Arabidopsis thaliana: one gene and its partners. The protein of the gene in region 3 interacts with the protein of the main gene of each other region in a pairwise test. Each region holds a gene or a part of one and is shown on either strand. Other genes may lie near its edges.

The links.
Region 1: the proteins of HB32 (region 3) and AT1G35490 interact in a two-hybrid assay, tested with the Arabidopsis thaliana proteins (one large-scale study listed by BioGRID).
Region 2: the proteins of HB32 (region 3) and AT5G18037 interact in a two-hybrid assay, tested with the Arabidopsis thaliana proteins (one large-scale study listed by BioGRID).
Region 4: the proteins of HB32 (region 3) and AT4G33690 interact in a two-hybrid assay, tested with the Arabidopsis thaliana proteins (one large-scale study listed by BioGRID).

The regions. Positions count from the first base shown.
Region 1 is NC_003070.9:13,059,421-13,064,003, reverse strand, and holds AT1G35490 (bZIP family transcription factor), read right to left. Parts: upstream 2,456-4,583; 5' UTR 2,252-2,455; intron 2,159-2,251; 5' UTR 2,149-2,158; coding exon 1,619-2,148; intron 1,405-1,618; coding exon 1,329-1,404; intron 1,225-1,328; coding exon 1,098-1,224; intron 1,008-1,097; coding exon 838-1,007; 3' UTR 549-837; downstream 1-548.
Region 2 is NC_003076.8:5,970,549-5,973,289, forward strand, and holds AT5G18037 (NAC (No Apical Meristem) domain transcriptional regulator superfamily protein), read right to left. Parts: upstream 1,019-2,741; 5' UTR 981-1,018; coding exon 765-980; 3' UTR 553-764; downstream 1-552. Other genes in the region: AT5G18040 (target of trans acting-siR480/255 protein), read left to right, coding at 2,408-2,504, 2,674-2,741.
Region 3 is NC_003070.9:5,045,783-5,049,439, reverse strand, and holds HB32 (homeobox protein 32), read right to left. Parts: upstream 1,659-3,657; 5' UTR 1,395-1,658; coding exon 888-1,394; 3' UTR 687-887; downstream 1-686. Other genes in the region: AT1G14686 (ENTH/ANTH/VHS superfamily protein), read left to right, coding at 2,640-3,657. UniProt on the Arabidopsis thaliana protein: Putative transcription factor.
Region 4 is NC_003075.7:16,172,851-16,176,973, reverse strand, and holds AT4G33690 (G patch domain protein), read right to left. Parts: upstream 2,219-4,123; 5' UTR 2,037-2,218; intron 1,777-2,036; coding exon 1,608-1,776; intron 1,514-1,607; coding exon 1,231-1,513; intron 1,126-1,230; coding exon 837-1,125; 3' UTR 646-836; downstream 1-645. Other genes in the region: AT4G33700 (CBS domain protein (DUF21)), read left to right, coding at 37-308, 383-427; AGD2 (Pyridoxal phosphate (PLP)-dependent transferases superfamily protein), read left to right, coding at 2,344-2,426, 2,665-2,741, 2,860-2,927, 3,123-3,239, 3,524-3,586, 3,799-3,903, 3,989-4,039.

The DNA of each region.
Region 1 (4,583 bases), 8.0 Mb from region 3:
GGTTAATTTTTGTAACTTAGGGTTAGAAACTAAACAAAATAACAAATGATACTGCAAATCAGTTATTGAAAGTCTAAATAATACGCAATACAATCTTTCTTAATCGTTGTCAAATTTGTAAAGTTTGTATATATAGTATCTCAACTTGAAGTTCTCCCGACGATGCTGAAAGACCATTTAAAAATAAATATATATATATATATATATAATGTATGTAGCCATAAAATCTTTTAAAAGATATGGATGAGAATTATATTTCATATCAGTTTTTTTACTTACTATGATTAATATGCATTTTTTGAGATGGAGGGTAAAATTAAAATACAATGGCGGCTTAAAGGATTTTTTTTTTTACTGTTGCATAAACCCAACAAATTACTATGTTTTCGTAAATTCATTTTTTAAATATTAATCTTAATTTTCATATTATCTTGACTGGTGTATAAAATAGTATACAGAATATTTATATATATATATATATATATATATATATTTTTTTTTTCCTTTTATTACTAGAATCGGTCACAACTTGTATATATATAGATAAAGGAAATTGTCAAAAAAATTACTTATTCATATATATAATAGATGAAATAAGAAGGATTACAAGTTATTACATAACATGAAGTTTCTTGACAAGAGATTCTCTACCATGCCATAAATAGAGAGAAATGCAATAGAGGAGGATATGGGCAACCACATTTTGATTTACATAACGATGCTTTTTTAGGTTTTCATTCAAGGCTACAAACATCAAGTTCACCTATGTTGTATGGACATTAAGGTAGAGCAAGAGGAGCTCAGCTTAATCTGAACAATGTATCCATATTTCCTAAATCATATTGCCAAGGCTGCAAATTGGGCATCGGGTTCTTGTGTAACAGGTGGTTGATATTTGTTGTATCGATTTTGTATTGCTTGGACTTGTTTTTGGTTTTGCTGTGGTTGTTGTTGGTGTCGTCGAAACTGTAGGTTTCCTATCTCTCTCTCAAGCAATTGCTGCTCCACTGTATTAACCAACCAAAATCAAAATTTTACAAGAGAACAAAATAAATGCATTTTGATCCATTTTAGTAGTGATATGAAAGGTTAAATACCATGTTTAAGCTTTTGGATTTCTGCTAAACTATCCATACGTTGTTTTAAAGCTCTATTTTCCATGCTAAGCATGAGTAACTGCTGATCCAAGTAGTGAATGGCAGATGACATTTCACATCCTTCAACCTATTGAAGAAAATCCAACATGTATAATATAACATTAGGAATCTTTTCATATTATTAATGAAATTAAAGAACTTCGAGAAATACACGAGCCTTTAGAATCTTACTTGTAGCACTTGGATGGTCCTTTCAAGGTCTGATATGTACTCAAGCCTTCTCAAACGCGCTCGATGAGCATTTTGACTGCATTTTAATAATTTTCGATAAAATTGTATATTATTAAACCGCATCAGAAATATGTTTATCAACCTATATTAGGAATGTGGTCTAACTTATCCCAACAGTTAGCTCAAGAGTTAAGGATTGCCAGATAATGCCTAAAGATCTTAATCTCAATCGATGTGGGACATTTTAATAACCTATTATAAGTACACATGACAAAGATAAGACTACTTACTGTTTGATACGTTTTGAGTCAGTCTTTGATCTAGGACCATCTGGTTTTGTAGAAGTTCCTTCTTTCATTTTGCTTACATGTTTCTCAATGGGTTTCGACGACATATTTAAAGCTCCGCATGACATATTTCTTTGGATATTAGTTCCATTTGCTGTAGAGAAATCCCATCCTAATTTATTGTGTTGTTCATAAGAGTTGGACTGCCACAAATCATAGTTCTGGAACTGCCAAGACGAACCAGCAACATGATTTTCCTTCGAAGGCATTAAAGCTGAGTTCAAGTAAGCAGCTGTGTCACTAGCTGAACGTCTATGACCTTTGTTAATCTTAGGTGATGCTGGCTCACTTAGGAGCTCATCGAGCCAAGCTGGTTGGTCTTCTGTGAAAAGATCATCTAAAGAAGCACTATGGTGGTGCATATTATTAGGAGGAGAAATGTTATTTTCCATGTTTTTTTGGGGAACTCGTGATTGTGATCTTCCAATGAATCCGAAATTTCCCGGGTTTGACAACCTCCTTAAATTTTCCATTCTTCAAAACCTATAAGGTATGAGCAAAACATGTATAAGAAAACCATTATCATGTAATGACAAGAATTGAAGATACAGTTTCTTTAACATGCAAAGAACATACCTAAGAAGACGTACGAGATTAGGAGACGTGTGATTGTTAGACCTTCCACGGGGAGGAAAATGGCATAAGCTCCTCCCGTGTGGTTGGTTTCGATCACCTCTTCTCCTTAGAATGCAAAAAAAAAAAAAAACAAGAAACAATCTCTAGATCACTAAATAGAGGAAGATACCATATTGAAACAATCCATGTTGATGATTTACATTGCGTGGTTTTCGTGAAAACAACAATTCTTGTCCTTATGCTTTATTTGGTCTATTATTTTCTCAGTTATTTTTGCTTTTTCACTTTCCCATAATAGACTCCACCATTGGTTTATTCAGACTGGGTTTATTGGTACACAATACTACAAAAGCTTCGAGGAATTCTTTCATTTTTTATTCATCGAATTTGTATAGTAAGCTCCGTAATATTTTTATGTGATTTATCTACACGCTTCTAATAGATGCAAAATCAAAATATTACTCTCACTATCATATGAGATTGACAATGTAATGACGTGGGACAATTTCTTTCTTTTTTTAGTTAATAATCTTTTCTATTTACATAATTATAAAATTCTAATGTTATTATGAACTTATAAAGTACTAGATATACAATATATATATATATATATATATATATATATATATTTAAGAGAACTATAAAAAAATAAGGAGAAACTTTGTTAAATATTAAGAAATTGATATGTTCAAATGTTTAATAATTTGCACTTTAAACTCTAAAGCTGAAATTTAGTACGAAATGTTATCAGCTTTAATTTGATAAATAATTATAAGTGATAGTTTGCACTTTGTAGATTCTATACCATCTCTATACTATTATTTGAGAAATGTTGTTAGCAAAATAACTAGATGTTACTAGATTTTAATCCGCGGTATACCGCGGGACGATTTATTTTTTAAAAGTAATATATATTAAAACTTGCAAATTTTATTTTATAAAATATTTATATTTTACAATTTATAATTGTTATTAACTAACGCTATACCACGAATCCATGAGACAATTGTTAAAAAACTGAAGTTTTAACCCCTATTAAAACAGCATATTAATAATATTTTAAAATTTTATAAATATTAATTCAAATACATCCGCCATATAACTCAATTCTAAAATAAAACCCGTTCTGTAATTTCTTTACCCGTCCTGTGATTTTTTTTTAAGTAGTAATTTTTAAAATTTAAGAATTATTTTTTATATAAAAGTTTTGCAAATTGTATCATTTTCTAATACATTTATATTTTATAGTTTAATTTTATATATAGTAACATTATACATACCACATAACATTTTTTGTTTTATATAATCTTTTCTAAATTAGGATGATTTGATATGTTTAATATTAGTGGTCTTAGAAAATAATAAATTAAAGATTTAACCCGTATTGAAACGGTGGATTAATTATATTTTATTTTTTTTATTAATGTTGATTCAAAAACCCGTCTCTCTAAATCTGTCTTGCCAAAAAGCCATTTATTTATTAATATTATTTTTATTAATGATATGACTCTGAATTATAATCTAAACATTTTAGTTAATAACATAGGAGTGCACCATATTTATTTAATAGGGGAATGTACCATATGAGCCGAACGCACTTTTATCCAAATCCACCAAAAAAGTCTTGCAAAAATACTATAGAGATAAGAAACGATTGTCGGTTTTGATAGGTATAAGATTAGCAAATATATTTGTTAGCTTAAATTAGTTAAAGAATACAAATTGAAAAGGTATATTACACTTTATTCGAATATAGTATCAAAACTTATATAACACAGAGATTTGTTATTTTTTAATTGTTGAATATTTTTTTTTGTGCTAATTTTTATGTGATTAAGATTTAATTGATTTCGTAAATAAAATATTAAATTGTTTACGAACTTATTTGTTTATAATTTGGTAATAGATAGATATTTGAATATTCAGTATATTTTGCTTCAGTTTAGGAAATCTTTGATGACCCATCTCTAGATCCAATAAGCCCTATAATCTAGATATTAACCTGCAGTATACCGCAAGTAGCCTTATATTTTAGTTAAACTAAAAACTTTTATTGTAAAGATGATTTAAAAATATATGATATTATTTTATTTGATTTTAAATGTATAGTAAACTGTGAGTTGTATATGTTTTGTTGATATTATCTATATTGTTTAGTGTTTAAGATTATACACTTGTAGTTTGATTGTTAATTTAAGAGTTTGACATGTAGTATACCATCTTGTATTAATATCGATCTAAACCCGTTAATTCTAGGATTTTCCAGCTTGTATTAAAAATTGAATCACATCTAATATGTTATTAATTATTGTAGTATATAAGATTATAAATT
Region 2 (2,741 bases), on a different chromosome or scaffold from region 3:
TTGTTATTATTAAATGAGGGTAATTTGGTCATTCTGTTCAAGAAAAAAGATATTTTTAAAAATAAATAATATAAAAGAGTATTATGGCAAAAAGGTAGTCAAAAAATATAGTTTTGCAAATCTCCCATTAATTTAACCAATTTCTTATCCATTTCGTAGGCCAAAGTTTCTCTTTTTCCTTCATAGGCATGGATGGGCCTGATCATTATTAATATCTCATATATTAGATGAGATAATCTCTTTGATCCTCAAAACAAGAAAATATTTTTTCGTTTGTGAAAACAAGAAGGTGAGCAGTTACAAACTCCTCATAAAAATAATGATCTACATGTCTTTAAATAAACAAGAATATACGAGATTTTCCTAAAGTTTTTATGAGGAATTTAAATAAATTATGCAAAGGGAAATATCAAACTAGACACAAAATTGAAGTAAAATAAGATAGAAGTAGAAGTTATTATCCTCTTCACTGAAAATTTACCAAGACACATAATCATGGTCCTTTAAGGTGGCAGAGAACTTGAACATGGAATAATGAGCCACCGTTTTCGAGATAGTATTCTGTCATGGTCCAACCACTGGCTTGTCTCTCACCTTTGACGTAGAAACTTAGACTTCTTCCCAATCACTGCACCGGTATCTTCCAACACGACATCACTCAACTTCCCATGGCCTTTCCAACATCCATCAACCGTCTCTCCTTTGACTTTGCGGCTGATGCGTTTTCCAGTAACGTTTTCAGAGAGATGATTCACTTTCACGAACTAGAACCATTCATTAGGTTCCAAAAAGTTAGTCTCGGTGTGAGACAACCGCCACGGCTCTTTGGCATAGATGTCAAACTTGTCTTCTAATTCAAATTCTTTATTTGATCTTTTGGTAACCTTAGGCCCGATATAACGGATGATGAGTTCTTGGGCAGAAGGATGAAACCAAAACCCAACATGTTCCTCTTTATCGTAGTACTTAACCATCGACATATTCTTTTCTTGTTCTATGAGACAAAGAAAACGCAAATCAGACAAAAAGTTAAGGATCTATATATTATAGCAATAATCCAAGGGGAACAACAAATGATCTTTAGAGCAAAACTGAAAAACAATAATAAACGCGTTGAAGACTTGAAACTTTCAGGTAGACAAATAGAAAAGGTGATTTCGTATATATATGTGGATTTTAAGGATTTTTAATATATTAGGAAAACGATTCTTTAAAAAGGAAATATATCCATGTAATTCAAAGCCAATATTCTTAAAATTAGATAAGTAAGCCAATATCACATTTTTTCTTTTCAAATTTGTAATGTTGGTTTTAGCGTATGATATTTTGTCTACTATTTTCTTTTTAAACTTATTTTGTCTTATATCTTTTTACAAACTAAAAAACAAGATTATTCTTTTACTTATCTAAATAATGTTCAAAGACTGGAAGATTTCTTGCTCTTCTGATATGGAGAGATACTTGTATTAGTACTTGAAGAAGCTTATGCCTCAAATATTTTCTTGCTCTCCAAAAAATGCATTGACATGATCGTGATCGGTTGCACAAAAAATGGTATCCACTCTCTAAACTTTTAGAACAAGTACTCTTTCAAGAAGAAAGAGAAAAAATCTATTTACAACGAATAAGTCGATGTCTAACTCGGAAAAACAAAATGTTGGATCATCATCATTGGAGCCTAAAAGAAAATTGTTGTTAAACTATAATTGTTGCCCTTAAATAAACAGGCAAAAACGATGTTGTTAAAAAGACTTTTAAAAACATTGGCAATGTCATAAAAACGGCAACGTTTTAAGGAAAGTTTCAAACGTCGTCGTCTTGAGGACTAAAGTTGAAGTCTTAAAAAGGCGACACGTTTCGGGACAAAGCTGAGGGGAAATCTTCGCGACGACTGTGAGAGTTTGTTTCGCGAACATTCTCTGAGTTTCTCTCGACGCGACGGCGATTGCGAATGTCTTCTCCTTCTGATTCTCGTCTCTCTGTGTCTCCGGTAATTTCTCTCAATTTTCTCTCTCTGTTGGATTCTTTTAGCTTGTTTTGGATTTGTTACCGATTCTACTCCGTGACTTGGCCTTTCTCAGTGCTATTAGTGAACAGAGATAAACTTTAGGGTTTGAACTTTTTTTTTTGGATGAATGATTTGAATCCTTTTTAACGTTAGAGTTGTTCTTTGTTAATGGAAGCTATCATTGTTACTTTGGTTTACTCTAAAGCTTCTTGTTCGACGATTTTTCCTCTGCAACTAGAAATGGTTGTGTTTATGTCAAAACTTGAAACCATGTTTATGGTTTTCGCTAGTTAGGTCTTGTTTTTGTTTTTCCTTTTGCCTTATCTGCTTGACTCTACTGGATTTCTGAATGTGTTCTTCTGCTGGATTCTACTTGAAACCAGGGATAAGTAATCGAAGATGAATATGATTCAGCGATTCATGCAATCTATGGCAAAGACGCGTGGCCTCTGTCATCCAGATTGCGTAAAAGCAAGTAGTGAGCAAGAAGATTACGGTAAATGAATCAAATCTTGTTCTAGAGAACATTACTTTATTCGCATCGTTAAGAGATACTGTGATTGATTTTAGCTGATAGTAGTTTACTCCCTTTTTAATATAGTCTAATCCTTTGAAAGAGTCATATGAATTGACTACAACATTTTCATTTTTTTTTTGTCTTGCAGATGCGTCTCAGCTCAGTATTTGGTGGATAATGCTGGGAAGGAAGACGACCAGGGAGAAATGGATGAAC
Region 3 (3,657 bases):
TCGAGCCGGGCAAGACTGTCTCTGGTTTTAGTTAACCTGGTCCTAAATCCTAATCATTTTCTAAATCAGTAGGTAAACACTAGAATAATTGTAGACTAGAGCTATGTTTTTTAGTTTTCTCAAAGGTGTTCTTATTGGCCTTGAAATGCCAACAAAAGCCCAATTAAAGTTGAAACTTTCGTGGGAATGGGATGCTTGGTATAATGGTAGCAAAGTTACAATTTTATGAATCAATTAGTTCACAATTTTATTGGTATATACTTTTAAGTATATGGTTTTACGACTTTATAAAAAAGCAAAAAGTATAAAAATTATTTTTGAAATGACTATTTCTACAAAAAAAAGCATAACAGCTTTTATTGGCTTTGATGATGTCATTATAATTTTTAGTAACAAACCTCGAAAAAACACAATGTTGTGTTATTTCCGTAACTAATTGTCTTTTCATTACGTGAAATATATCTTACCATTAATTATTTACAAATTTTAGAATTAGATATGTAATCTTTACAATTTTCTATCAAAACAAAATGTCATTTTGCCATCCTTTCCCATAATAATTAGTACTACTATTCAACTACTTCAATATTATTACGTATAAATATTCTGATTGGCGAACAGTATTGACCATAAATAAAACGTCAGCTAGTTGTCTTGTCAAAACTCAAATCCCACCGACGTAAAAAGAAGAATCATAAAGACCAATTAAAGAGTGAACCAGTTAGTAATTAAGGACATGTCCAAATCAAACACATTAAACCCACTAATGATAAAATAATAATCCATTAAAATAAGCGATCAAGGAGGAGAAATTAACACAGAAGGGATGAAAATGAAATTGGAACTAAATTATAGTATTATCTCAATTAAGGATATTAGTTAATTAGTTAGTGATAAAACTTTTTATTATTGTTAACCCAAGTTTTAAAATGATAACGAGTAACACCAATCCCTTCACAGAAGACTCTTATCTCTTCTCTAAGCGCTCTCTTATCCTTCAACGTCCATCCCAACTTCGCCGCGTAATCTTTCATCGCCTCTCTCTGCTCCGCCGTGAACTTTGACTTCCTCCGCCTCTGCACCGTCATCTTCTCTTCCGTCGAAGTCTCCTCCGTGTCATCCTCCTCCTCCTCATTTCTTTCCTCAGCCGTTTTCCATTTCAGCCTCGCCAGCTGCTTCACGCGCCTTAAGCTCGTGAACGGGAAGCGCGTGTGATTGATTTGAGGAGAAGATATGACGTCTATACGACGGTGGTAGCTGCGGTGGCAACCACAGGCGACGCAGAGATCGCCGGTGGATGGTTGAGAGTATTCACGGCAGCCATCGATGGCGTAAGAGCCGAGCTTCGCGGCGTGGTTGCGCATGCATTCTCTGTAGACACAAGTACTCTGCATCTTCTTGGCTCTCTAATTAGAAGAGAGAGACTTTGTTTTTTTTTGAGTAATGATTTTTGCGTTTAGGGTTTGTTTTGGAAGAGTTTGGTTTTGGGTTACTTAAGTTATGATATGGTGTTTTTTTGTGTCAGAAAGAGTTGGGAGTTACAAAAAGAGCAAAAATTATTGTTACTTACTTGCTTTAAGATTTTGTACTTACGTGTTTATTAGTTGTCATAATAAATGTGAAAAACCCACTTTTTGAACTGTTTCACTGGCTTTGCTTTTCTACACATCCATAATTTCGTATCCTCTCAGCTCATAAAGTTGTCATCTCTACCCATAGTTAACTCTTTCAATCCATTGGGTTAAGTGTAGTAGCAATAATGAGGAATAAGAAAACTAAACCACTTTTTGTAAAACTATAGCGGCTAATTAGTACTAGTAAACTAGTACTAATATATTAGTAATAAGTTTTTAATATAGGTATAAACAAATTTAATAAGTTTGGATTGTATAGAGGTCACATGTTTCTAAATAAGTAGAAGTATTTTGATTTATAAAAGTAAGATTTAAGAAACTAATTTTGTAAAATTGAGAAATATCAATAATATATTGTAACTAAAATGAAACTATAATTAAGAAGCAAAGATCAAAAGTTTTCAAAGAATCTGATTTTATTGCAAAAAGAAGTCTGAAACGCTTTCTTTTAAGAGGTTTAGCAAAAAAGCAATTGTGTGACCCACGAGTTGACTATTCACTATCGTATATGTTCATTTGCCTACTTTATGTTTTGTGTGTAATTTAGCAAGCTAAACGATTATTTTACGGCTTAACGATATCAATCACACCATTAATAATTAAGATATGTATATTTCCATATTGTACAAACAAAGTCATAATTTGACTTGCTCAAACCACATACATTATATACGATTACAACACTACTACACTAGAAAATTGCCTCAAAACAAAATCAACGAAACATATAGAAAAGCCAACCAAACAACACTTATCTAATGAACTTATTACGTAATCAATCGAGTTAAACTGAAAAATGGAAGATAATAATTTAGTAACGACATCAAAAATATCTTTTTTTATTTTGGTCAAAACTGAGATTTCTTAATTTTAGCTTATCCTTATCTAATTCGTTTTAAACCAGCAAAGAATTGACATCAAAGAAAACAAAACACGGTTTAAAATGAAAATTATAAAGCGCGAAATAGAAACTAACAATTTGAAACCACACACATTAGTCGGAAGATGAAGCTTTGGAAACGCGCCGCCGTAGTTCTCAAAGACGGACCTAGTCTCATCGCGGCTGATGACATTCTCACAGCAGCCGTTGTGAAAGCTACAAGCCACGACGAGCTCTCCATTGATACAGAGAGCGCTCAATTCATCTACCGTCACGTTCTCTCTAGCCCGTCAAGCCTCAAGCCTCTCGTAAGCTTAATCTCGTCTCGCGTGAAACGCACGCGAAGCTGGGCGGTTGCTTTAAAAGGCTTAATGCTAATGCACGGCTTCTTCCTCTGTAAATCAACCGTAGCAGAATCGATCGGACGGTTACCTTTCGATCTTTCGAGTTTCGGCGAAGGTAATTCACGGATTATGAGCAAATCCGGTGGGTTTAATCTCTTCGTACGTGCTTATTTCGCGTTTCTTGATCGAAGATCGATTCTGTTTCACGATGGGAATCGTCATCGATACAACGAAGAATCATCGGTTCTGATTCGACTTGTGATTATTCGTAAGATGCAGATTATTGTTGATTCTTTGATTAGAATCAAACCGATTGGTGAAAACATGATGATACCTGTGATTAATGAAGCTATGGAGAATGTGGTTAGTGAGATTATGGAGATTTACGGTTGGATTTGTCGTCGTATTGCTGAAGTTTTACCTAACGTGCACTCCAAGATAGGTAAAACAGAGGCAGACTTGGCGTTGAAGATTGTTGCTAAATCCATGAAGCAAGGAGGAGAGCTAAAAAAGTATTTTGAGTTTTGTAAAGACTTGGGAGTTTCTAATGCTCAAGAGATTCCTAATTTCGTAAGGATTCCTGAAGCGGATGTGATTCATCTCGATGAACTCGTAAGGACGGCGATGGAGTCGTCTGAGGAAAGTGCGGAGAGAACAGAGATTGCTGAGGAAGAAGAAGAAGAAGAGGAAGAGATAGAGACGAAGCTTTCTGATTTGATAACACTTGATCATAATGAGGAAGCTCCTGCCTCTCCTCCGAGAGTTGTTGTCGTTGATATTCCAGACTTAATTAGCTTTT
Region 4 (4,123 bases), on a different chromosome or scaffold from region 3:
ACAAGTATTGAGAATCTTTGCTTTGGTTTCTAATAGGGAGTGTTAAGGAAGCCCGAGTGGATGTGGATAGTGAGGGAACTCCTACTCCTCAGGAGAGAATGTTAAGGACAAAAAGATCGCTTCAAAAGTGGAAGAGCTTTCCGAATCGAGCAAGTTCGTTTAAAGGAGGGTCAAAGAGCAAGAAGTGGTCAAAAGACAATGATGCAGACATCCTGCAATTGAATGGCAATCCGCTGCCTAAACTTGCTGAGGAAGAAGAAGCAGTCGGAATCATTACGATGGAGGATGTCATTGAAGAACTTCTGCAGGTAAGGAATCTTATATAAGTTAAAAACAAAAATTCTTTTTCACGGATTAATTATTGCTTGGCTTGTGGTTGCAGGAGGAGATCTTTGACGAAACTGATCACCATTTTGAAGACTCCTAACACAGAGTGCATGACCACTGAACTGGTTATGAATGTCGAAAACTTTAGTCTTTGTTTTCAACTTTCAAACTGTCACTTGTCCGGCGAATGTGTATCAATGTAGGCATGAACAACAACTTTTTCTATGGTTTCAAGATGTTTTCTCTCTATATATATATCATTGGTCTCTAAGATATGTCGCTCTCTCCTTTCTTCAAAGAGTTTTACCAAATCTGAACCCTCATAGGCCACACCAATAGTTGTCTCTACTACCTATATATCATTAGTCTCTAAGATATGTCACTCTCTACCTTACTTCAAAGAGTTTTTATTCGCATTTTACTAATACAAGAATTAATGAAATATGATCATCTTATGGATACAACATCACTGCCGGTGTAAAAAGGCAATTACTTTTGTCCGGAAAGATCTAGTCCCTACCATATTTTCTCTTCTTCCTATCCCTTTTCTTCTCTTTTGACTTGTGTTTCTTACTAAGTTTCTTCTTATGCTCCTTTCTCTTTCTATGAGCCCGTTTGTAAACTTCCTCCTCGTCGGAAGAAGAAGAATCTGTCCTACGTCTCAATAAAGGTGATCGCTCTGGCTGAATCACTAGCTTCCGATCTCCTGTATCAGAAGTTCTTGACAATTCCCTCTCAGGAAGACAGGGTAGCGGTTCATCCATCATAGCACCAACAGAACCTCTGCCACGCTTGACCCTATCATAGACCAGAATCACAAGTTTTATCAGCAAAAGCCGATCCCAAATTCGATCATTATTGTAAAGGAAATAATCAGGCAGCATCTGAGTATAATGGAAATACCTTGATTGGAGAAAAGTCTTAACCTCGACATCTCCTAAGCCTTCATCATCATCATCCTCTGATTGCCATCTTTTGCTTCTGCTCCGGCTTGATGATGGTGATAAACTAGTAGTAGTAACATTCTCATCAACTGAAGTACATCTCTTTAAAAAATCCCTCCTATTGTTCTGCTCACTTTGACCATTGCTGCTCTCATCTCTTGATTTTCTTTTGAGCCTTTCACCAAACTCAATCTCTTTACTCCGAAGACTCCACATCTCATTGGTTTCCACAGCTTTGTTTGCTGAATGGAATAAAGAAGAAACAAATAAGAGATAAACTAAAAAAAAACTAGATTTTGTTGGATAGAAGCAAAGTCTGTCAACAAAAGATTATACCTTGCTGAACACCAAGAACTGTAGCAGTGAGAAATCTAGAGTTAGGTCGATGCCTTACATTAGGCTTCTCAAGATATGCTCTGACGCCATCTTTCTCAGCTTGTCTCCTCAATTCTGCTGCTTCTCTTAAAAGAATGGAAGCTATTCGATTTTCAGTTTCCAGATCCATCTACTCCAAGGTAAAACAAAAAAGTATAAGCCTAATCAAGTTATGTGATCAAATCAATCTGGGTAGATCAAACAAAGATGGAGTTGAACTTAATTCGACCACTACAGCTATCTAAATCATTGCTTCTTAATCACAGAACTTCCACTAAAGCTACGTTCTTTCGACAACGAAATCAACGAAGCAAAACAAACAAAATTACGTAAACACACAACAATCGAAAAGGGGATTTTTGGAGAACCCTATTGGTCGAGATTAATTACCACGAAATCGAATTGACTCAGATACAGATATCTAGTAGCAGCTTCACGAAATCGTGCGATTCCTCGGCGTTTTCCAGCAGGCGCAGAGCAAAATCATTGTCCGAGCCAGAGAGAGAAATAAATAAATTGAACTGAATTGGAAAATTCCCAAAAATTTCTAGTAAAACCGAACCGGAACAAACCGGATTAATTTCCTCTCAGACCAAACCGAAGAAGAACCCTAGTTTTATCAGTCTCACCAACTATCTCCCATGGTTCATTTGCTCTGCAAATTTGTCTGAAAAAATCTTTGTGCGAAGCAGGAAAAATGTCGTCGACCCATCAGTTAGTTTCTTCGATGATCTCTTCTTCCTCATCCACTTTCTTAGCCCCTTCAAATTTTAATCTCAGGTGCGTCGTTTTGTTTTCTTTTACTCTCTGTTTGCTACTGATATAATCTAGTGAGGATGAATATGAAATTGGATTCATTTCCAGAAATTAATTGTATGTTATGAATTTACTTGGAAATTTCAATCCTTTGGTTTTTAAGTCGATGTTGGATGGTGTTGTTTGGCCAGAGAACAGTGCATTTGCTTGTGATGATCATTGATTCATTTTTTTATTGGTTTGCTTTCCTTTTTGGCTTCAGAACTCGAAATGCTTGCTTACCCATGGCAAAACGGGTCAATACTTGCAAATGTGTTGCTACGCCGCAAGAGAAGATCGGTAATGTTCCTACTCCATGTTGTTTTTGCTGTAATGATTAGTAACATAGTTAATGATTTATCGTCTTTTAGCTGTTTATCTGTTTCTTACAATACATGATTTTGTTTTCTGTATGTAGAGTATAAGACCAAAGTGTCACGGAATTCAAACATGTCCAAACTTCAGGCTGGATACCTATTCCCGGAGGTTTGTTACCTGTTACTCTCTTGGTACTACTATTTAAGATTTCAAATACCTAAAGGAGTGGCATTTCAAGTTAACATTTTTGAAAGCTTCTAGTGATCTGAAATATTATAACTATCTGTGTAATAAGTTAATATATCCTCATTGATTCTGTATATAATGCTCCTCTCTCTTATTTTTTTGTGTGGATGCAAACAGATTGCAAGAAGAAGGTCTGCACACTTGTTGAAATATCCAGATGCACAAGTTATAAGTCTTGGAATAGGCGACACAACTGAGCCAATTCCTGAAGTGATCACTTCTGCTATGGCAAAGGTACCTCCTTATCTTAACTTAGCTTCATGTGCTCTTTGCCCTTCTCTGGGCTCTAGCATATTTTAAACTGATTTTACTAACACTGCCCTAACATGTATTATTTCGTTCATTTTGACAAAAATGTATAACATATTTTCTGTTTTGGCGTATTTGGATTATTAAACGAGAACTTCTCTGTAATCTAACAATGAAAATTATTCTGGTAGCATAGTTTTTTTGTTTGCTATACTATTCACACAGGCATGTAATCTCTAGAGATTAATCATGTTTTTTTTCTCTGACAGAAAGCTCATGAGTTGTCAACAATAGAGGGATATAGTGGTTATGGTGCTGAACAAGGTGCAAAGGTCAGTGCACCCTTCATTTCCACCTTATTGCGTTGTTATCATTTCTTTATTATCTGCCTTTGCACGTCACTTCAATTTTATTATGGATAGTCTTGAACTGCTGCTAAATTCAAGAGAAGATGGATTTAAACCTGTTTCTTACATGTAAAATCTTAAAGCTTAATCTGTTAAGTTTTTATCCAAACTAACCTTGATTTCACATATGTGAAAAGCCACTGAGAGCTGCTATTGCGAAAACATTCTACGGTGGCCTTGGCATAGGGGATGATGACGTTTTTGTTTCTGATGGAGCTAAATGTGATATCTCACGTCTCCAGGTTTGTTTTATTGCTGACTATTCATCTGTAATTGATACAAGATTAAGAAATATGAACAGCTGTTTCTTGATTCCACTTCTTGCAGGTTATGTTTGGTTCCAATGTTACAATTGCTGTTCAGGATCCTTCATATCCGGTAATTGGGCATATAGAAACCAAATTGCAGTTGTAGTCTTCTCTACTTTTGCTCCATTTTAACGTGGAACTATGCTGTCTCGTT